4 linked regions of the Danio rerio genome follow. The protein of the gene in region 3 interacts with the protein of the main gene of each other region in a pairwise test. Links are inferred from orthologs where the notes say so. Each region holds a gene or a part of one and is shown on either strand. Other genes may lie near its edges. The genes, in order: nrm, vti1b, trim59 and zdhhc22.

Region 1 (6,042 bases), on a different chromosome or scaffold from region 3:
ATATATATATATATATATATATATATATATATATATATATATATATATACACACATACAGGATATATGGGAAGAAAAACATTTGAAATATTGTAAAAAAAAAAACTTTTCTTTGCTCTGTCAAACATCACCTGAAAATAACTACAATATATGAGCTATATATATATTTTTTTATCTAAGAACTGCATTATGTCCAATTAAATATTCATGTAAAATTTAGCTTTTGATTAATAATTGATTGCTTATTAAATATTTTTTCAAATTTGGAAATGAAATAATCTGTATGCAAACTCTGTAATGCACTGTTTTTGTGTGGTTGTAATAAAGCTTTACTCACTGTTGCACTTTATCTAATTTAAAAAGTAAGCTGTTTTATGCATTCTATAGTTTCTTTTATCACTTGGCTGTTCAAGTCCAGGGTTTTGAATTGACTCCCTTAGTAGTGTATGGTGCTCCTGAAATAAAATGTTATGTTGCTGATGTTCTGTTTCTAATGTTTGTAAAGCAAACAAAATCTCAGTATCTTGTAATACTGAACAAATACAGATCAATTCAACAGCCAACCAGAGTAAAACTGGTAGAGGTAATACTCTCATATTGGATTAATTTTGGGAATGGAAAAACTTGAAAAATACTTACGAATAATACTGAAGTTACTTTATTTTTTCACCCAAGCTGGCCTGCTCATATACTCTTTACTTTAGTAATATTATCAGCTTTTACCTGAGTAAAATAATCAGTAATTTTTCCAGCTGTGATCAAACCATATGCATATGTATGTATATTTTGCAATATCAGCCTTTGGAAGAGTTTTCTCGTGTCAAATTCTTGCCACAACCACATTTGTCTCCTTAATATTGAATTTCCTGTATTCTTTGTAAATCTGCTTCAGCATTTGTAATAAAAATGTTAAGAATAAAAATTGTCATAAACATTTTCTTGTTTTCTTGACAGGGTTTTTGTTTTTAATCGGATCTCAGTGTAAGGCACTAGCTGCAACTTGTGCAAACAAAAATCTTGCTGGATTATAACAATTATGGTAAAAAATTGTGTTCGGAAAGGATATTTCTTACCAATTACAGCAATAATAACCAACCTGAATTAAAACCAAAAACGTACCGGCTTAAAGTACAGCATTTGTCATCATCCCTTTAATCTACCTAATCTGTGCTAAAGTGCAGATAAAATAAGTTAGAGCTATGCAAGCGTAACTACAGGAAACATCTAACTTTGTAGTCTTCTGATTGCAATCTGCACATCGCGTGTACCACAGACACTGGGAATTCACAAAGATTAAATCATCATTATATAACTATGTATGTATCTACACTGTAAAAAAGTGATTAGTTCCTATACTTTAAAAAAGTGAGTACACCCGTTGTCAGAATTCAGCCCTTAAACATTGTTTACAGAAAGCAATGGTAAAATGTGACAGTCATACTGTATTTAGTTTAAATCCAGCCTTTAACAATCTTTACCAACAAGCCACTAACTGTTGCATAATTTTTGCACAGTGTTTGCAGAAACCATCTCCTATTTACTTGTGGAAGGGAGAAGGGGAGACATGCCACTCTGAAGTGTGATCATGAGGCCAGTGAGATTTCCAATATCCGTTACATTAGACAGTGTTTAAATTGGAAACCGTGCAACACTCCACCATGCGGTAACCACGCGTCACTGCAGCCGCCCCTTCCGGAAGTATCGTTGCTGTCGGTTTGAAAATATAAATATTGTCATGGCGTCGGTAACTTTTCGCGACGGGTTTCTCTGCGTTTCTGCTTTAATTACCTTCGTGTTCGTATTTGTTACCGGCGCAGATTTTGTCCGTTTTGTGTCGTTTCGTGCCATCAATCATAACCTGAGCGGAGCCGCGCCTCTGTGTCGAGGTGAGATCCAGAAAACAGCCAAACTGACATACAAGTTACTGACAGAGTTTACAGAGAAACTAGACATGCTGTAAATAAACGCATGCACACTTACATTATTATTATTATTAATAGAGAGATTTTCATTCAGAATGGTCTTAAATGTGTGTTACAATAACATATTTTGAGTAGTTTAACTGTTTAGTTTGTTCGTACATTAGATTACAGCAAAGTTCTATAGTCTTTGGATTAGTTGGATCGAATTTTTAAAAACAAATAAGATTAATTACAGGCATATTTACAGCTTACTGAGTTTGATCTTTAATATGCAGTTATTAAACTTTTATTTTGTTACTTTGCATATAAACGTTAACATGTCGTATGAAGTCTTGATAAAATAACGTAATAAACTTGATCTAACGACTAAAGTTAAATTAATTGTAGATATAATAAACTTAATTATTATTTAGTAGTTTTAATTTGCAGTAAATTAGTTTGTGAAACGTTCCTGTCAATCGTGTTTAATATAACTTTAATGTAAAAGCGTCGTAAGAAGTTACGCTAATGTTAGCTTACAGTTTGAACTGACTAATAACAGTAAACAGATTAATTATAGATTTGAATAATTACTTTTTGAGTATTATTTAGTGTTTTAGCAATATAAAGCATTTATACGTTGATAACTTGAAATTTGTTTCTCTATCCCTCAAATGACCACTTATTCCTTGTGTGTGTACGAAGCGCCCGGCTAGCTCAGTCGGTAGAGCATGAGACTCTTAATCTCAGGGTCGTGGGTTCGAGCCCCACGTTGGGCGCAAAGTTTTTCATAGTGTTTTCTGTGTGTATCTGTATTATTTTCTTCCAGACTCTGTGCCCTGGTCTGTGGCTCTGCGGGATGGGGTGGTTCAGAAGGCAGTGGCTGTGGATGTTCTCCTTCTGGTCGTCTTCAGCCTCCAGCACAGTCTGCTGGCCTGGACTCCAGTGAAGAGAGTCTGTCAGAGTGTGTTTGGGGTTTTGAGCAGATCTGTGTATTGTTTCACCACCGCCGCTGCACTGCAGGTAATTCTGCATATGCATTATTTAAACATTTATAAGTAATTATTTGAGAGATGCTTTAATATAGAAGTAAATGTAAAGTGGTATGTAAGAATATTTTTTAAGGCAATGCTTTGCCTTTTACAGTTGTTATGTAGATATTTTATTGAATTAAAATTATATTAAATTATAAATGAGTAATTATATAACATTTGTGGAGTTATAATTTCAGAAATGAACTAGAAAAATGTACATACAATAAAAGCGAAGTTTCTTCTTAAACACCTGAATTAATACTGTGAACAGAATAATAAAAATATGTCTAAAATAATTTTATATAAAATTAATTATTTATTATTTATTTAATTTTATTCACTGTAGTATGTCACTTGGATGTGTTATTAATTTACAAATTATATTTATTTATGCTAGTTTCTCTAATTTCAAATTATTTCTTCTAAAATTATTTAGAGATTATTTATAAAACTATATTTAAAAGAATTCCAACCTTTTTTTAATTGCACAATTGTAGTATTACTTACCTTTTATTAAATTAAAAGCATGCATTGATTTTAAATAATAGATTACATGTGATTTAAAATAATGTATTTTGTTTAATTTATTTACTTGATTAATAAATAAATTTATAATTTAATAATTATAATTAACAAGAAATAGATTTAAACTGTTTTATGCACATTCATTATAGTGATTATTTATTTAAAATAAACATTTAAAACTATTCCAACCATTTTTATTGTTACAATTTTAGTATTGTTTATCTTTTATTAATATAAAAAGCACGCATTTATTTTAAATAATAAATTAAATATTAAAATGTATGTATTTTCTTTCATTTATTAAATTATTCAATTAATTAATAAATTAAAAATGTATTATTTAAAATTTGATCTTTGTTTTATTATAAAATGTAATTAAATCCAAAATCATAACATTAAGATAAAATTTAATCTTACATTTTTTTTTCTTCTTTTTTACATTTATAACTTTTTCATAAATCTCCAACAAGACTTTGCAGCCCCAAATCAAAACAAATCTGACACTGTGATCCCTAATTAGCCCTTATAATCAAATACCTCTGCTACCACTCATCATTTAAACTCACATATCCTGCATGTAAATTAGTCAGTGCTATATTCTGCTCATACTGTAATCTTGTGTTCAGATATTAATGCACTATTGGCGCCCGGTCACCAGCGCCCCCTGCCTGTGGTCAGTGAGCAGTGCACCATGGGAAATCTGGTTCCCGCTCATCTGTTTTATAGTACACTTCTTGTGCTGGGCTATAATCTGCAGCATCCTGCTCATCTTTGACTATCCAGAGCTACTGGGCATCAAACAGGTACACATGCACTGACAATCCAGACATTTACAAGCACAAAACACTCCAGTTAAAGCGTCTAATTTCATTTATATTTATTTATCAGGTTTGGACAGACATTTATTTATTATATTTATCTTTATCATGGTTTGTGTAAATGGGCCTTAAGACTAACATACTGATACTAACATCTATAAAACACCTTTAAAAGTGTGTGTGTGTGTGTTTCTCAGGTGTATTATGAGTGTTTGGGTCTGGGTGACCCTCTGCTGCTGAAGTCTGAGCGTGCGCAGCGTCTGTACTCTCACCTCCGTCATCCAGTGTGTGTGGAGCTGCTGACGGTGCTGTGGCTCCTGCCCTCCTTCCCGCTGGACCGACTCCTGCTGGCCGTGTTCCTGACCGTGTATCTGATCCTGGCGCACTCGCTGGACAAGCAGGACTGCGCTTACCTTCGGCACCAGCTGCGCAACAAACTGCAGCTCTTCTCCACACCACTAGAGGGCAGCGAGCAGACAAATGACAACAATAAACTAGAGTGAACGCTGGGTTTATAGGAGTCAGTAATGCTTTTACGTCAGTATGTAAGTCATACGGTGTCTGCAATTGCATACTTCTCTACTATGGTCAGTGAAAAACAATATCGCTGCATCCAAATTTGCTAACTATCCATCCTAAATAGTAATCGAAAATAGAGTTAGTGTGTCCCAAATCATATTATGTTTAAATGCATATTGAAAAGTTACCTGGATGCTCTACTATTTCTGGTAGATATTGAAAGTGCATATCCATGCTAACGTTAACTGTTAATATTGCCGTTAATTCGATACCGTTTTCCAAAGTTGGCTGGTTTACTTTTTCTAGTAGAAATTCGAAGTGCGAATCTCTGCTAATGCTAATGGCTAATATTTCCGTTGCACGGACCCACACTTCAAATAAAAAAACATTTATTTTATATTATGATAAAACTTCGAAGTGCAGATACGTGCTAACGCTAATGGCTAATATTGATGTTAATACATTTATTTTATACCGTTAATTTGATTCGATCTACAAATGTAGGTAAAACCGTTTTTTAAACTACAAACATGGCGGTCATGCAGAATCGAAAGTCTTACAGTGTGTTTAAAATCTCAATTTTATCTACTATAGTATGTGAAAAACAATATCGCTGTGTCCAAATTTGCATAATATCTTTGCTAAATATTATTTGAAAATAGAATAAGTCCAAAATCATAGTATGTTGAAATTAGTTTTCCCAAAACTACACGAATGCTCTACTATTTCCAGTAGAAATTCAAAGTGCATATCTGTGCTAACGCTAATGGCTAATATTGCCGTTGATTTGATACCGTAAATTTAATTAGAACTACAAATGTAGGTAAAAACTGTTATCAAACTACAAACATGGCGGATAAGCAAGATCAAAAGTCATACAGTGCTTCGAAAATCTACTAATATAATCTACAAATATTTCTCTACTATAGTATGTGAAAAACAATATCGCTGTTTCCAAATTTGCATACTATCCATCCTAAATAGTATTCAAAAATAGAATTAGCGTGTCCTAAATCATATTATGTAGAAATGAGTTTTCCAAAGACCCCTGGTTGCTCTACTATTTCTGGTAGATATTCGAAGTGCAAATCTGTGCTTATGCTTACGACTAATATTGCCGACAATACATGCGCCCAAATTTTAAATAAAAAAACATTTATTTTATTGTTTTTAATTTATTTAATGGGATAAATTCGAAGTGCAGATCCATGCTAACTGCTAATATTGTAGATAATTTGTCAATTTG
Region 2 (5,611 bases), on a different chromosome or scaffold from region 3:
ATATATATATATATATATATATATATATATATATATATATATATATAAATGTTTGTATGTATGTATATATAATAAATAATCTGAGCAAATCAGCATGTTAATGTGTTTTCTGAATAAATGAGTAAGTTGACACAATATAAATGTTTGTTCTTTGCATTTCACACATCCATAAATGTTACAAGGGATTTTTTGTTTAAAATAAAGTTTTTTTTTCTGTTTATATAAATATGTTTTTATGTTATGTTAATCTGCTCAAATCACATATTGGAATGATTTGTAAATTCTGTCTGATAATTTCACATGGCATCGTGAAGAAATCATGTAGTAAATGCAGTTTGAGCAGAACATAAGTAAATTATGTTTTAAAATATTAGAAAATAGAAAACAATAATTTTAACCCTCCTGTTGACTCATGGGTCAAAATGACCCGGGCACCCAGACACCGTTTTAACAGCAAAAAAGAAATAAACAATTTCTTTATCTTAAAGTTTGATTGCTTCTAAAATTTCCCCAACATTTGAAAAAATTCATCATTTTCATATTGTTATAAAGGCTGTACACATTTAGGGTACAACAGTTGTCTTTTGGGTAAATTTTATATAGATGGCCAACTATAATGCCAAAACATTTTAATTCTAAAACATTTTACACTTATGCAGGTACTTTAGATATAGAAAATATGCCCTTTACTTTAGCCAAGAATGAGTTGTCCTGATTAAACATTGATAAATGTTTACAGAGTTTGTGATGAAGATGAGATTGTTTCTTAATGCACAACAGATATGAGGATTAAAATTATTTTCACAGCTTTATTTTAAAGGTTATACAACAGTGCACGCCGGTGTATACAAAGTTCTAAGACAACAGCAGAGGAAAAAGTTTAAGCATATTTCACAGTATTACTTTTTTTAGAGGATTGTTGATTAAATGAATGCAGCCTTGATGAGCATATGACAATTCTTTAAAAAATATTTTGAGAAGTCGCCAAACTTTTGCATGATATTATGTGTAAAAACACAGGAACAGAAACAGTGACTGTCTGCCGCCTTCTCTGAGTTTATCATTAAACATGTAAAACCTCTCTCAGCTTCAGGGTATGGAGCAGGAGCTGTTTGGTGCTCCATCATCCTTCCGAACCCCCATGTCAACAAAGATTCGACTGTACCGACGAGATCTAGCCAAACTGCAGAGAGATATTCGGCTATCAGCAACACCAGGGCTTACAGGTCAGCTCGGGGACAGCAGACTTGGTGTTTATGCCTCACAGAATGACCAGAGTGTAAGTATATCTCATCACTCTCTTAAAAGAGGCCGTTCAGGTTTTTCTCACTCTCATGTGTTTTGAACTGGTCCAATAGTTATATTTATGTTTTCTGTGAAACCATGTTTCATGGAAAGAGAAAGGTCACTGAGGTTATGCAGATTAAGACAGAATTTCTGCTTTCTTTGATGAATTACCCCAGACATCAGCTGAGATCATGGTTGAAATGTGTGTTATTGAGAACAGAGAACTATTCATTTTATGATAAAAATCAGTGTTACTGATGATAAATTTATTAAACCATCCTTATTTAGGTTTAGACAGGAATGTGTTGTTGTGTTTAGAAAGGTATTGTTAAATGAAAGCTTTACTCCTCATTGATGATGTGCACATCACTTGAACAGTAATTATGGAGAATTTCTACATCTTTCCAGCTGGATCTAGATTTTCTTCAGGCTAGAACTGGCTAGAACCGCTCCACTGTACCCCTCATGTGTATTCCTACAGGAAGTTCCATAACAATGAGTATGTTTTGAGTACTACAGATCTCTATCTCTTCTGTGTACTGTTTAATGACACACCTTGCTGGCATTCCAGAGGTGTTACGTGATTCTCAGTACACCACTCACCTCCGGCTACATGTAGTGCTGATTTGAAAAAGTTCAATGAATTTAACTACTTGTTACCTAAGTTTGTTAATAATATGGCAACAGGACAAACCCCTCAGGGCTTGAAAGCTGAGCGCATATAGTGTGCAGTTCTCAAAACTTGATGCTGATCATTGTTTTTGGTTGCCTGGTTATTCATAAATGATTGACAAAAAAAAGATGAAAAAGAAGCTCAGGGTATTAGGATTTATATGACTTAATCCAAGTGCTGGTCATGTAATTAGATTATCTTCAAAAAGTTGATTTATTTCACTAATTCCATTCAAGAAGCAAAACTTTTATATTACTGCAGCATTACGGCGTGGCATGGAGTTGATAAGTCTGTGGCACTGCTCAAGTGTTATGAGAGCCCAGGTTGCTCTGATAGTGGCCCTCAGATCTTCTGCATAGTTTGGTTTGGCACATTGCATCTTCCTTTTTACAATACCCCATTGGTAGTCCCATATGGTATCTGCGCGTGCAGAATTCAGCAGATTTTTAGCCCGTCATTAAATCTGTTTATTTACTTGAGTAAATCTAAGTTTATTCAGTTTTTAAATTAATTACAGTAATATTGTTGACTAATATGAAAATGTTCATCTGATTTACGTACAGTGCAGTTTGTAATGTAATATTTTCTATCTTTTAGTAGATATATTATATGAAAGACTTACCTTGTTTACCAAATAAAGTGAATCTGATTGGATTTGCATTTTAAAAATTAAATAAAAGTTAAAAAGGTATTATTATAATCACATATTAAGGTTTTAGTCATTATACTCCCAAAATAATCCAGCAGAAATCCGCAGATTTTTTACCAAAATTCTCTGCAGAAATAGCAAAAAAATGTCTGCAGATTCTGTCTGGCCCTACCTATTGGTTTTCTATGGGATTAAGGTAGGGTGAGTTTGCTGTCCAATTAAGAACAGGTGCTTAAAGCAGTGCTGGTTGCTTTGGCACTGTGTGCAGGTGCCAAGTCCTGTTGGAAAATCACTCAGCAGCAGTCCAGACTTTAGCTCAGACGAGACACTTCTGATGCTGTCTGTTGCTCAAAAGAAACAAGGAATGTGACAGCTGACACCCATGTCTTGCACACGTCTGTGCGTAGTGGTTCTTGAAGCACTGACTCCAGCTGCAGTCCACTCTTTGTGAATCTCCTCCACATTTTTGAATGAGTTTTGTTACTCAACTCTCCAGGATGTAGTTATCCCTAATGCTTGTAATCTTCTACCACATCTTTTTTTCCCTTTACCTCTCTGGTAATGTGCCTGGACCCAGAGCTCTGTGAACAGCCAGCCTCTTATGCAATGACCTTTTGTGCCTTGTGCAAGGTGATAGTGGTCATTTTTTGGCAAACTGTGTAATCAGCCGTCTTCCACATGATTGTGTAGCCTACAAAACTAAACGGAGAGACCATTTAAAGGTCTTTGCAGGTGTTTTGAGTTAATTAGCTGATTAGAATGTGGCACCAGGTGTCTTCAATACTGAACCTTTTCACCATATTCAAATTTTCTGAGATACTGAATTTAGGGTTTTCATAAGTTGTCATTAAATTAAAAGAATTGCTTGAAATATATCAGTCTGTGTGGAATGAATGTATACAATATACAACTTTTACTTCTTGAGTGGAATTACTGAAATCAACTTTTTGAAGATATTCTGAATGTAGACCAGCACCTGTATAACATGAAGGGTAAGAGTGTGCTTTGTATGAGATCAGGTAGTGAGCTGCTGTGCATGTTGCTGTTTTTACCACAACACAACTTGGAAAATAAAATCTAGACAGACAGATAGATAAATGGATGGATGGTCAGACGGATGTGCAGATGAATGGGCAGACAGACAGACAGGCAGAGATAAAGACAAAGTGATCACTTTGCAAGGCTTTTGGTTGTGCTTTTCAATTGAAGAATACCAAAAGAAGTGAATTAAGGCTTTTCTGCTGTTCATCATTCCCAAAAGAAGTTTGAATGTTCAAAAAGATGTTTGAAATCAATACTAAGAAAATACAGGGAGAAGAAACGCTAGATGTTAAACTGTACACTTACTGATTCGTCAAGTATCTCTTTAAGACTATGCTTGTATCCATCGCCATCTTTAAGCTCTTCCTCTAGCCGTTGTCTACTGAAAGCCTCAAAGACATCAGGGATGAAGTGGAAAGTGCAAAGGCACTAAGTTTTATTTGTGCAAAGGTATTGTCCTGTTCTTTTCTCATCTTTCGCAGTGAAGACCTAAATAATTCTCTCGCTGCTCTTTTTGTGAAAATTAAAAGCTGCACAATGTGGCATTGTACCAGTACCTTTTTCAGCTGTGTTGCAAAAAAATAAAAAAATAAATAAAAATCAACCATTACGCACTCAGAGGTCCCCCTAGGCCAAAATTAATGTTTTTTTTTTTTCAAATAGCAAATCTTTCATGGGTTTTCAACTGCATATTTCAGTAACAGACATTATTTTCAATAAATTGATCCATGCAGTTTTGCACACAAATTTAAAAAATCTGTCTTCCTTTACTCACCCTTTACTTGCTCCAGACCTGTTTGATTTCTGCTTCTTATTTTCTTCTGTTAAATCAATGGTTACGTGTTTTAGCTTGCTTCTAAATAACTTCTTTAGTGTTCAACAGAATAAACAAACTCATAAAGTTTTGGAACCACTTCAGGGGGAGTAAATAAAGAGTTTTTTATTTTGGGGTGAATTATCACTTTAATACCTGGGGTTGTTTTCAAGTAGTTAGACAGTTTTTATTTTATGAGCTACCTGTAATCATAAACAGATCCTTCCAGTTTTTCAACGCATATGTACCCACACCCACACACATGTATGTAAACTGGTATGTGATGAAAGTTTAATTCCCTGCATCTATACAAACACAGATGCCTGTTACACTGCAGTGGAGTGATTTATTTTTCTGTTGCGGATGCAGAAGTTGGCCTTAAGCAAGGTCATGCTGTGTGTCCCAAGAGACCTGTTTCTGATCTCAATGAAACTGAGGAAGTGAGGTCAGCAATTGTTTCTTTCGAGAGGTCATCACAGTTTTTGTTTTTTTTTTAAATTACAATCAAAATGGTAAAAGTGGGCAATAGTTACCTTTCACTCAGCATGTGCTTATGCTATCTATCTATCTATCTATCTATCTATCTATCTATCTATCTATCTATCTATCTATCTATCTATCTATCTATCTGTCTGTCTGTCTGTCTGTCTGTCTGTCTGTCTGTCTGTCTGTCTGTCTGTCTGTCTGTCTGTCTGTCTGTCTGTCTGTCTGTCTGTCTGTCTGTCTGTCTGTCTGTCTGTCTGTCTGTCTGTCTGTCTGTCTGCCTGCCTGCCTGCCTGCCTGCCTGTCTGCATGCCAGCCAGCCTGCCAGCCTGCCTGTCTGTCTGTCTGTCTGTCTGTCTGCGTCTATCTGCCCATCCATCTATCCATCCATCTGTCTATCCATCCATCCATCCATCCAAACAATCAACCACCCACCCACCCACCCACCTACCTCCCTCCCTCTCTCCCTACCTACCTACCTCCCGACCGACCGACCGACCAACCTACCTACCTACCTCTCTCTCTCTCTCTCTCTCTCTCTCTCTCTCTCTCTCTCACTCTCTCTTTCTCTCTGTCTGTCTATCCAGAGACATCTAAGAATAATTGTTACGAATTGTAATAATATAAAACTTAAAAAAAAAACTATTGTATACGGTGTAATTAA
Region 3 (5,515 bases):
GTTGATAAAATATTAGGGAGTCCTGGGAGAGACCTGAGATGAGATCCTCCACCCCAGGGCTCCCTCCAGTTTGCAGGTCGAGAGGGGAGTTTGAGCTCAGGTAGATCTCCAGAACTCCCCTGCTTCTATATCTATGTTGTCGATTTATTTTGGTCAATACACATATGTTTCACGTCTTTGGACTGTGAGAGGAAACTGGGGGAAAACCCACGTGAGAACATGCAAACTTCACACAGAAATGTCCACTGGCCTGGTAAGGGCTTGAAGCTGGGACGTTTAAGCTGTAAGGCGACAGTGCTGGCCACCTTATCTAACAAAAATAGGAGGAGTAGAGTGGAAGAGGGGATTTTTCAAGATGACATAACTGAAATGAGAATAACTTGCATCTGGTTGTTTATGTTGAGTTAGGAATCCTCTGATTGCAGAATCATGTGTTGCCTAATGCAGGACCAGTCATGGACAATCAAGAGCATGTGATCCTCTTATTCATTCATTTTCTTTTCAGCTTAGTCCCTTTAATCTGGGGTCACCACAGCAGAATGAACCGCCTACTTATCCAGCATACGTTTGAACATATATGCGAATGCCCTTCCAGCTGCAACCCATCACTGGGAAACATCTGTACATACTCATTCACACACAAACAAACACACACTATGGACAATTTAGCATACCCATTTCCCCTATAGCGCATGTCTTTGGACTTGTGGAGGAAACCGGAGCACCCGAAGGAAACCCACGTGAACACTGGAAGAACATGCAAACTAGGCACGGTATAAGACTCTGACGGTGTGATAACCTTGGATAAAAATATCACTGTTTCACAGTATTGTGATTACTGCGCTGAATTATATTCTTTTTAAATGTCTGAGTAAAAAACACAACTTTTTTTATAATATATTTTATTTTGAGAAACATTTTAAATATTTTGAAACGTTAACGTCAGGCTAAATAATGAATCATTGACTTCTGCTTTGTCTTCATTAGTTTCAAACACAGATTTCTTAATCATTTAAACAGAATCTTTAGCGATATTTTCTGCTGGAGATACTGTCGTCCTAAAAAAAGAAAAATCTTACATGTACCTTAGGAACGGTGTAAGAGAAAATTTTGGCAGTTTTAAAACCTTAACTTTTCCACACCGTGGTATACCTTGAAAATGGTTATCATCCCATGCCTAATGCAAACTCCACACAGAAATGCCAACTGACCCAGCCGGAACTCAAAGCACCGACCTTCTCGCTGTGAGGTGATTGTGCTACTAACCGCACCACTGTGCAGCTCATACTTATTTATTAATAAACTTCACAAAGTTGTATTCAAGCCTTTAAAGTCTTGCTAATATAATTCTTTGTGTGCTCGCTTTAAATGTATACCTAGAAAATTGTGTAGTGTTTAACTTATTTCTACACTTGGTCTTAAAATCTTAAGTTGACCATTCTAAAACCTGCAGAACCCTATTAAAATCCATCAGTGTGACCATCTGTGCGAGCACCCAATAATGATGGAAATGAAGCAAGATTAGCATATCAGAGAAGATTGGACACAACCTGAGCTACTCCCGAAGACTTTCACCGTCGTCATGCTCTTATATAACTGTTCTGTAGTCTGTGCACCGATGTAATGCAGTCGCACAAAGAAGCTTTTGTTGAACGATGAAGCACTGCCAGCTATACTGGATCTGGCTGCAAATACAAATCAGTGCTTCATTTCGTAATACTTTCTCTGTAACAGTTTTATAATAAATATATTTTCCAAAATTAGTTTCCTATTCATTTCTATGATTTCCTGTGCAAAAGAACATGGTGAGAGAGCTTTAAGACACATTAATTACAATATTATAAAAAGACGTCATGACATCTTTAAAAACGAGCATTCTGCGGGTTAGATCTGTATCAGTACTTATAGCTGTGGCGAAACATCGCTCCAGAAATCAATTCTGAGATTTTCAAAATTCATCATTATTCTCTCTTAAATTATTAGCAAGCTTAGATATTACCAGCAGATGTTTAAAACTCTAATGGCGTCTGCTGTTGAAAACTAGAGTGCGGCACTCTAAAATAATTTTAAACAGCAGACTGTGATCTAGGCTAGTTTTTAAATACTAGCCTAGATTACAGTCTGCTGTTAAACACTAGCCTAGAGCGGCATCTGCTGTTAAACACTAGCCTAGAGCGGCATCTGCTGTTAAACACTAGCCTAGAGCGGCATCTGCTGTTAAACACTAGCCTAGAGCGCCGTCTGCTGTTAAACGCTAGCCTAGAGCGCCATCTGCTGTCAAACGCTAGCCTAGAGCGCCGTCTGCTGTCAAACACTTGCCTAGAGCGGCATCTGCTGTCAAACGCTAGCCTAGAGCGCCGTCTGCTGTTAAACACTAGCCTAGAGCGCTCACTGCTGTTAAACACTAGCCTAGCGCGCCATCTGCTGTTAAACACTAGCCTAGAGCGCCGTCTGCTGTTAAACACTAGCCTAAAGCGCCATCTGCTGTTAAACACTAGCCTAGAGCGCCCACTGCTGTTAAACACTAGCCTAGAGCGCCGTCTGCTGTTAAACACTAGCCTAGCGCGCCATCTGCTGTTAAACACTAGCCTAGAGCGCCGTCTGCTGTTAAACACTAGCCTAAAGTGCCATCTGCTGTTAAACACTAGCCTAGAGCGCCCACTGCTGTTAAACACTAGCCTAGAGCGCCCACTGCTGTTAAACACTAGCCTAGAGCGCCCACTGCTGTTAAACACTAGCCTAGAGCGCCCACTGCTGTTAAACACTAGCCTAGAGCGCCATCTGCTGTTAAACACAGCCTAGAGCGCCATCTGCTGTTAAATACTAGCCTAGAGCGCCCACTGCTGTTAAACACTAGCCCAGAGCGCCATCTGCTGTTAAACACTAGCCTAGAGCGCCATCTGCTGTTAAACACTAGCCTAGAGCGCCATCTGCTGTTAAACACAGCCTAGAGCGCCATCTGCTGTTAAACACTAGCCTAGAGCGCCCACTGCTGTTAAACACTAGCCTAGAGCGCCATCTGCTGTTAAACACTAGCCTAGAGCGCCATCTGCTGTTAAACACAGCCTAGAGCGCCATCTGCTGTTAAACACTAGCCTAGAGCGCCCACTGCTGTTAAACACTAGCCTAGAGCGCCATCTGCTGTTAAACACTAGCCTAGAGCGCCATCTGCTGTTAAACACTAGCCTAAAGCGCCATCTGCTGTTAAACACTAGCCTAGAGCGCCATCTGCTGTTAAACACTAGCCTAGAGTGCCGACTGTCGCTCAAAACTAAGTTCAGATTTAATTCAAGTGAGATTAAGCTTTGCACTTTAAACATCTCAGAAACAGATTCCTCCACAGCTCTAAATTGTACGACAGCATTAGTAGAAAACTGGTCTTGTTCATATGGCTTGGAAAAAAAGAAAAAAGAAATTTAATGTGGTCACGATGGTCGTCAGGTACCACAGGAGTCTAAACTCAGTACTGGAGGGCCAGGGTCCTCCAACTTTTTCCAATTTAGGGTGGGGCTATCAGTAATTTAGGGTGTGTCTTGTTTGTGCCCTACTTTTGTCTATTCGTCTTCCTTCATTTTGTTAGCAACGCTTCCAACGATCCAACTGATTTTCAAAATGATGAAATCATCCACTGCGCTACATTTTTTTCTCATTTCAAAGCAGTTTCAAGTGCATGTACGTCACAATTAAAGAAGAAAAAAAAACAATCTTAACTTCGGTTTCATGGGCTGCATCTGAAATCGCCTGCTAGAGTATGCACTGCATTTGAATTTACTACACGACCTTTAGAATAGTGCGATTCATTTAGTATGACTTGAAGTAGTATAAATGAAATTGGGACGACCTATCGCATTAGTTGTAGGTCAATCTGTTATTAGTGTACTATATAGTATGCGATTTCAAACACAGCCATTGTGCTTTTGACATCTGCGCAATGACATCTGCATGTGATTCAGACGCAGTCATGGTGCTTTAACACCAGTGTAATTCTTTTAAGAAGCGGAGCAGCCGCTGATGTGTGTGTTCTCCTACAGTAGAGATGAATGCCTGTAATTTACTGCCAGTGTTCTGCAGCACACAACAGAAGAGCGCGCCTAGATCACGCAGTGGCTGACTCAGTCCACTCAGAGCGTTTTCTCCAGCCTGACGGAGAGCAGAAAGCCAGTGTGTTCCTCTATTGAGACAGAACAGCAGCAGCAGCATGATCACACATAAACACACACAGATCCTCCAGCAGCGAGTCTGATCTGAGACCTGTGCTCTGCTGGTTGAGCAGCTCTCTGAGTGCCAGGAGATCTCTGGAAGTGGCCCGTCTCTCAGATCTCTGAGGGTCACATCGGTCCAGTGTTTTTCAATGAATCTCTCGGCTCGTGGGCTCATCTGAAGGCTGGGTACAGTAGGCATCGGTGTGCAGTTCAGAGTGTTTATTCGCTCCCTCAGCTGATGCACCTTCTCCAGGTACTCCAGCGGACTCTCCTGGTCCTCCTCCATGCTGGAGATCAGGATCTGCAGCTGGCTGTGCTCCTCCTGCAGACCTTTCAGCTGCTCCATCAGCGGCTCGTAGGCCTGATTGAGAAGCACATTCGCCCGCTCCAGCGCCTGCATAAACGCGGTCAATAATTGTTATAATGTACTCGTTCTAGTTACTGTAGCTTAGTTTTGTAGTAAGTGCAACTTTTTTTCAGGTTAACGCTACTTAATTTTTTTAGTTCCTACAACTTAATTCTTAAAGCAAACCAATTAAAACATGCAAAACTACAACAATGGAAGTGGAAAACAGATGCCACCTCAGTCTTCGTAAATGAAGTTCTTATAACCTAATTTGAGTTTTTGAATCTGAATTTTCCTCGTTGCCGCCACTTAACTATAAGCTAGTGAAACTCTAATTGTCAAATCTAATTTTTACTAGTTATTTCAAGTTAATCTGACGAGTTGGTGCAACTTAATTTTTTGAATTGTTATAACTTATTTTTTTTTAATTATCATAACTATTTTTTTCTAGTTACTGGCACTACATTTTTAAAGTTAGTGCAACTTATTTTTTAAATTGTCATTTAATTTTCTTCTTACTCAAACTTAATTTTCCTGGATAATGCAACTTTTTTATGTTAGTGCATTTCATTTTCAAACTTTCTAGTTCTCATACCTTTATTTTTCCCAGTTACTGAAACTTCATTTTATTGTCATAATTGTTCTAGTTGCTGCAACTTAATTTTTCTAGTTCTCATAACTTAATTTCTCCTAGTTTCTCCAACTTAATTTTTTCTAGTTTGCGCTAATTTTTCTAGTTCCTACAACTTAATTCTAAAAGCAAACCAATTAAAACATGCAAAACTACAATAATAAAAGGAGGAAAACAGATGCCACCTCACAGTCTTAGTAAATTGTTCTATAACCTAATTTTTTAAGTTCTCCAATTTTTTGGAGTTCTCATAACAATTTTCCTCATTACTGACACTTAATTATTTAAGCTAGGGAAACTCTAATTGTCTAATCAAAATTTTTACTAGTTTTTGCA
Region 4 (5,112 bases), on a different chromosome or scaffold from region 3:
GTTTTATAAGAGGGTTTCAGTTACAGAACAGTGCGACCCTCCATTATTACTAATTACTTTGAATGAGGGAAGAGAAAAAAAAAAATACTGCTAGCTTTGATTTAGTTGTAAATCAGTTAATAAAGCAGATTTTGTTTACATTATTATTACACACACACACACACACAAACACATTTATATATATAATGTTTATCTGCTGATCTTTGTTTAGAGTACCAAACTCATAAGTGCCCTTTGAAACATTCAATAACTAAACCACAAGATATAGTACATCTGGAAATTTATATTTATAGCGCTTCACTTTTTCCACATTTTTTATGTTACAGCCTTTTTCTAAAATGGATTAAATTTATTTATTTCCTCAAAATTCTACACACTATACCCCATTATGACAGTTGTTGCAAATTTATTAAAAATAAAAAACCTGAAAACTCACATGTACATAAGTATCCACAGCCTTTGCTCAACACTTTGTTGATGCACCTTTGGGAGCAATTACAGCCTCAAGTCATTTTAAATATGATGCCACAAGCTTGGCACACCTGTCTTTGGGAATTTCTGCCCATTCCTCTTTGCATGATTAGTGGAAACAAGCTCTATCAGGTTGGATGGCCACTCCATTAATATTTTGGCGGTGTGCTTTGGGTCATTGTCCTGCTGGAAGATGAACCATCCCTCCAGTCTGAGGTAAAGAGCACTCTGAAGCAGGTTTTCATTCAGGATGCCTCTGTACATTGCTGCATTCATCTTTCCTTCTATCCTGAATAGTCTACCAGTTCCTGCTGCTGAAAAACATCCCCACAGCATGATGTTGTCACCACCATGCTTCACTGTACGGATGGTATTAGCCTGGTGATGAGCGGTGGGTGGTTTTCTCCAAACGTACCGCCTGGGATTCACTCCAAAGAGTTCAATTTTAGTCTCATCAGCCCAGAGAATTTTGTTTCTTATAGTCTAAGAGTCCTTTTGATGCCTTTTGGCAAATTCCAGGCGGTAGAGGCTTCCGTCTGGCCACTCTACCATACAGCCCTGATTGGTGGATTGCTGCACAGATGGTTGTCCTTCTGTAAGTTTCTCCTCTCCACAGAAGAACGCTGGAGCTCTGACAGAGTGACCATTGGGTTATTGATCACCTCCCTGACTAAGGCCCTTCGCCCCGATCACTCAGCTTAGATGGCCGGCCAGCTCTAGAAAGAGTCCAGGTGGTTCCAAACATCTTCCACTTATGAATGATGGAGGTCACAGTGCTCATTGGAACTTTCAGAGCAGCAGAAACTTTTCTGTAACCTTCCCCAGCCTTGTGCCTTAAGACAATCCTGTCTAGGAGGTCTACAGACAATTCCTTTGTCTTCATGCTTGGTTTGTGCTTTGACATGCACGGTCAACCCTGGGACCTTATATAGACAGATGTATGCCTTTTCAAATCATGTCCAATCAACTTAATTTACCACAGGTGAACTCCAATTAAGCTGCTGAAACATCTCAAGATTGATCATTGGAAGCAGAATGTACCTGAGCTCAATTTAGAGCTTCACAACAAAGGCTGTGAATACTGATGTACATGTGATTTTTCAGGTTTTTTGTTTTTTATTTTAATAAATTTGCAACAATTTCAAAAACATTTTTCACATTGTCATTATGGGGTATTGTGTGTAGAATTGTGAGGAAATAATTTACTCTATTTTGGAATAAGGCTGCAACATAAAAAAATGTGGAAAAACTCAAGCGCTATGAATACTTTCCGGATGCACTGTATCTGCCATTTGATTGATAGGAAATAATCATTTAATAAAATATAGTAACATAATCTACTAACAATCTAGTACCTAACTGTAGAATTGCATCTAGCCAAGTATGCATTGTTACACTTTAAATTAATCTTACCCGTTACAAAATGTCACACATAAAGGACATTGGTCTGTGTGTGAGCTATTCAGAAATACCTATTCAAAATGACCTATTATACCAATGTTTTATTCTGGTTCGGTAACTAATTTTGCTCATTTAAACTGAATTTGACTTGAGGTAGCAAACAGGACGCAGACATGAGAATGTTAGATAGAAAAGACATTCAAATGTATTGATGTTCACACACAGTAAGTGATATTTAAATAGAACTGCAACTCTTGTCATACAATACAGTACTGTTTATGCTCAACAAGGCTTCAATAAGAAGAATTTATGTAGCAGTAATGCGATCTGAAATTGATTTTAAATGTTTCTATGTTGTGCTTGATATATTTGTGGAACCTTTGTGTTCTTTCAGCAATATAAAGTTCTGAAGAACATCATTTGTCTCAAATAGTAATATTTTGTAGCTGTATTACACATCCCAGTCCAGTAAAGTGGCTATGCCTCTTTATAAAGAGGCTCTATTAGATTGTGTTTTTACTTTTAAAAGCTGCTATTGTATAAAAAAAAATCAAAATTGCCAAAACGCAAAAAACGTCTTAAAATTTTAGTCAATAATAGTTGTGTAAACCTTCCTTGTATAACTGACCCAATCTTTTAAAGAAGGGTTTACTTTCTTGCTGGCTTGACAAGATTCAAAAGAAATAAAAGCAATAGTAGAAGGTTATACTATGTATATAGTCATATAGTATAGTTATATAGTCATAAGTTTGACTTTTTAAGTGTATATAATTTGCATCAAAATCAAATATGTGGATGAAAACCGGCATAATTTTCCACAAAGTATTTAAAATTCACATATAATTAATTAAATACCAATTTATATTGTAATTCAAGTTCTTGTAGCATATAATCAAATTCAAATCAAGTTTAAACAAATCTAACAGTCACCCACATTTTAGCAGGCCACTGTTGATGTGTTCTGATTACCTAATATGTATGTTTTGTAAATACTGTTTAAACTCATCCATGCTTTAATCCTGACCTCCTCTATCATTGCTGCTTCTAATCACTGCTGCCCTAAACTAGGGCTGAAATTGGGTTTCAGCACAGTGCTGATTGACATAGATATGGATGTTATCACATCTTGGTGATATAACGCTCACCTAATTTACTCTGTGATGACAGAAATCCACTAAAAAGGCAGATCTGTTGGATGGGCTTAAGCTGCTCAAATGAACTGAAGCCCTTATATGGTCCAAATTAAGGTAAACAGAGTGATTTGGCAAGTTTTCAGTCGTGTTTGTGATCATGGTAGACCTGCCAGTTTCCAGGTACAGTCTCGACAGTCGGAACCGGCACGAAAAGTCCCAGAACCCAATGGGAACCAAAAACGTCAGTCAGGTTTGCTCGCCAGGTACCACGACACTCCGACAACTGGCCTTTCTGCAGTTCACACCAGGTCTGTCCTCGGGCCACTAGCAGAAGCTGTTGACAGCAGAAACCAACACTCACTAATCCAATACCCAGCCAGATGTACAGCATTATCACCAGAAAGAACTGGAGACCTGAAATCAAACCTGAAGAGAGAAAACGAGTATTATCATATCCATTGATAAACAAAGCAAAGCACATTTCAGGAAAATCCAACACCATGTCATGGCAATCCCAAACTTTTTGATTTAGTGGCTAATTCATATACTCATTTGTACATTTTAGTACAATTTGCTCATCCTCAATTAGGGGTAGGGTTAGGAGTGGGATTGGCAGACATGGCTCCTTTTAAAAAGTGTAATTATGTTGGCACCAACAGCCTAGTGGCAAAGTACGCTGACATATAGCACTGTGGTGCTGGCGGTGACCTGAGATTGATTCCCGGCTCAAGGTCCTTTGCTGATCCTTTCCCCTCACTCTGCTCTCCTTGTATTCAGTGTTGCCAAATATCGCTGACTTTTTCAGCCCAAAAGCTGTCCAAAACCCACCAAAACGCACAAAAAATATTATATTAATATCTTATTTAATTCTCATGAATTTAAATCGAAATGAAGCTAATTACTTTAACTGTCATGATTTTTAACCACACAGCAAACAACATCAGCTGCCACAACATAACCAGGTCTCATCAGGTCTCATGTTTGCGCTATGCACTGGTTACACCTAACTGAATGGAGCAGGAGGACACAGTTATGGTTTATTATATAAGTCGCATATAAAAGTTACGTTTCAAAACTGCCCAAATTTTGTCAACCCGCCAATGCCATTTTTTACCTGCACAGTCAAAATCAAAACTGCTCAATTGGCAACACTGTATTCCTGTCTCAACTCCCCTCTCCCTTATAATAAAGGTGAAAAATGGGCATTTTTAAATTTTTTTTTGCGTTTTAATATGAATATAAAACCATATGAATTCATACAAATTAGCCACTTTTCTGAAAATATGTAAGTTAAGAGTTTCTTTGTGAGATAAGGCACAAAAAATGGAAGCATGGCTTAATTACTTGGAGGCTGCGACCTTTTTTTTAATTGTGTTTCAGTTTCTAGAGAAATCGAATATTAATTGAGAAAACAGTAGGCGTGGCTTGTTTTTTAAACTGTGAGCTGATTGGATGTAGTAAAATGGCCATTTCATTCAGAGAGATCGGGAAAAAGGTTTCGGGAGTTATTAACAACCCAACAGACAGCTCCTCCTCGCCATTTCTGTTTGTTGTCGAAACTTACAGTTGAAGGGGCGTGGTTAAGTATATTAGCCACACCCAATACCTCAGACAGACGTAATCTGAAAATTGCACTAAAAACAAACAGGAAGTGCATTTTCAGATTTCAATTTTCACTTTTTTGCTCTTGATGACATGCATAAATAAATTGTTCACCACAAAACTAGCAATGTGAACTAAAAAAACCATATGGTTAGTTTTGATGCCATGTGTACTTTAAACTTACCAAGGAAGAAGTAACCAGTTGAGAGTGGCAGAAGAGTGAGGAACGTCAATGGGTTCTCGAAGGAAATAGAGTACTCTATTGTCAGATATGCCACCCCTATTACCAATGAATATAGACAAGAGCTGGACGTATAGATGCTGAACATAATAAAGTAGCGCATGTTCCTGTTCCCAATACAGTTTCCAGTGAAAAAGCAGTGGTGGTCCCGTTTTAGAATCACCTTTTTGCACACTTTACAGAAGTGGCGTCCATTCAGGAGGTAGTGCGCATCAATTCTGTCCGGGCAGTCGGGTGAACAGACTGGGATAACGGTCTCGTTGG

Evidence for each region.
Region 1: the proteins of trim59 (region 3) and nrm interact in binary tests that used the Homo sapiens proteins (3 or more experiments, as listed by UniProt). The two-hybrid records come from large-scale screens. The link is inferred for Danio rerio from reciprocal best matches to the Homo sapiens genes TRIM59 and NRM.
Region 2: the proteins of trim59 (region 3) and vti1b interact in binary tests that used the Homo sapiens proteins (3 or more experiments, as listed by UniProt). The two-hybrid records come from large-scale screens. The link is inferred for Danio rerio from reciprocal best matches to the Homo sapiens genes TRIM59 and VTI1B.
Region 4: the proteins of trim59 (region 3) and zdhhc22 interact in binary tests that used the Homo sapiens proteins (3 or more experiments, as listed by UniProt). The link is inferred for Danio rerio from reciprocal best matches to the Homo sapiens genes TRIM59 and ZDHHC22.

Annotation. Positions count from the first base shown.
Region 1 is NC_133194.1:976,375-982,416, forward strand, and holds nrm (nurim), read left to right. Parts: upstream 1-1,734; coding exon 1,735-1,885; intron 1,886-2,606; exon of another isoform or gene 2,607-2,679; intron 2,680-2,729; coding exon 2,730-2,923; intron 2,924-4,085; coding exon 4,086-4,262; intron 4,263-4,474; coding exon 4,475-4,780; downstream 4,781-6,042.
Region 2 is NC_133188.1:36,483,060-36,488,670, reverse strand, and holds part of vti1b (vesicle transport through interaction with t-SNAREs homolog 1B), read left to right. Parts: intron 1-1,087; coding exon 1,088-1,279; exon of another isoform or gene 1,280-3,108; intron 3,109-3,186; exon of another isoform or gene 3,187-4,225; intron 4,226-5,611. UniProt on the Homo sapiens protein: V-SNARE that mediates vesicle transport pathways through interactions with t-SNAREs on the target membrane. These interactions are proposed to mediate aspects of the specificity of vesicle trafficking and to promote fusion of the lipid bilayers.
Region 3 is NC_133190.1:1,612,809-1,618,323, forward strand, and holds the end of trim59 (tripartite motif-containing protein 59), read right to left. Parts: intron 4,597-5,515; coding exon 3,970-4,596; 3' UTR 1,319-3,969; downstream 1-1,318. UniProt on the Homo sapiens protein: E3 ubiquitin ligase involved in different processes such as development and immune response. Serves as a negative regulator for innate immune signaling pathways by suppressing RLR-induced activation of IRF3/7 and NF-kappa-B via interaction with adapter ECSIT.
Region 4 is NC_133192.1:49,753,358-49,758,469, forward strand, and holds the end of zdhhc22 (palmitoyltransferase ZDHHC22), read right to left. Parts: coding exon 4,792-5,112; intron 3,432-4,791; coding exon 3,145-3,431; 3' UTR 1,737-3,144; downstream 1-1,736. UniProt on the Homo sapiens protein: Palmitoyltransferase that could catalyze the addition of palmitate onto various protein substrates and be involved in a variety of cellular processes. Catalyzes the palmitoylation of KCNMA1, regulating localization of KCNMA1 to the plasma membrane.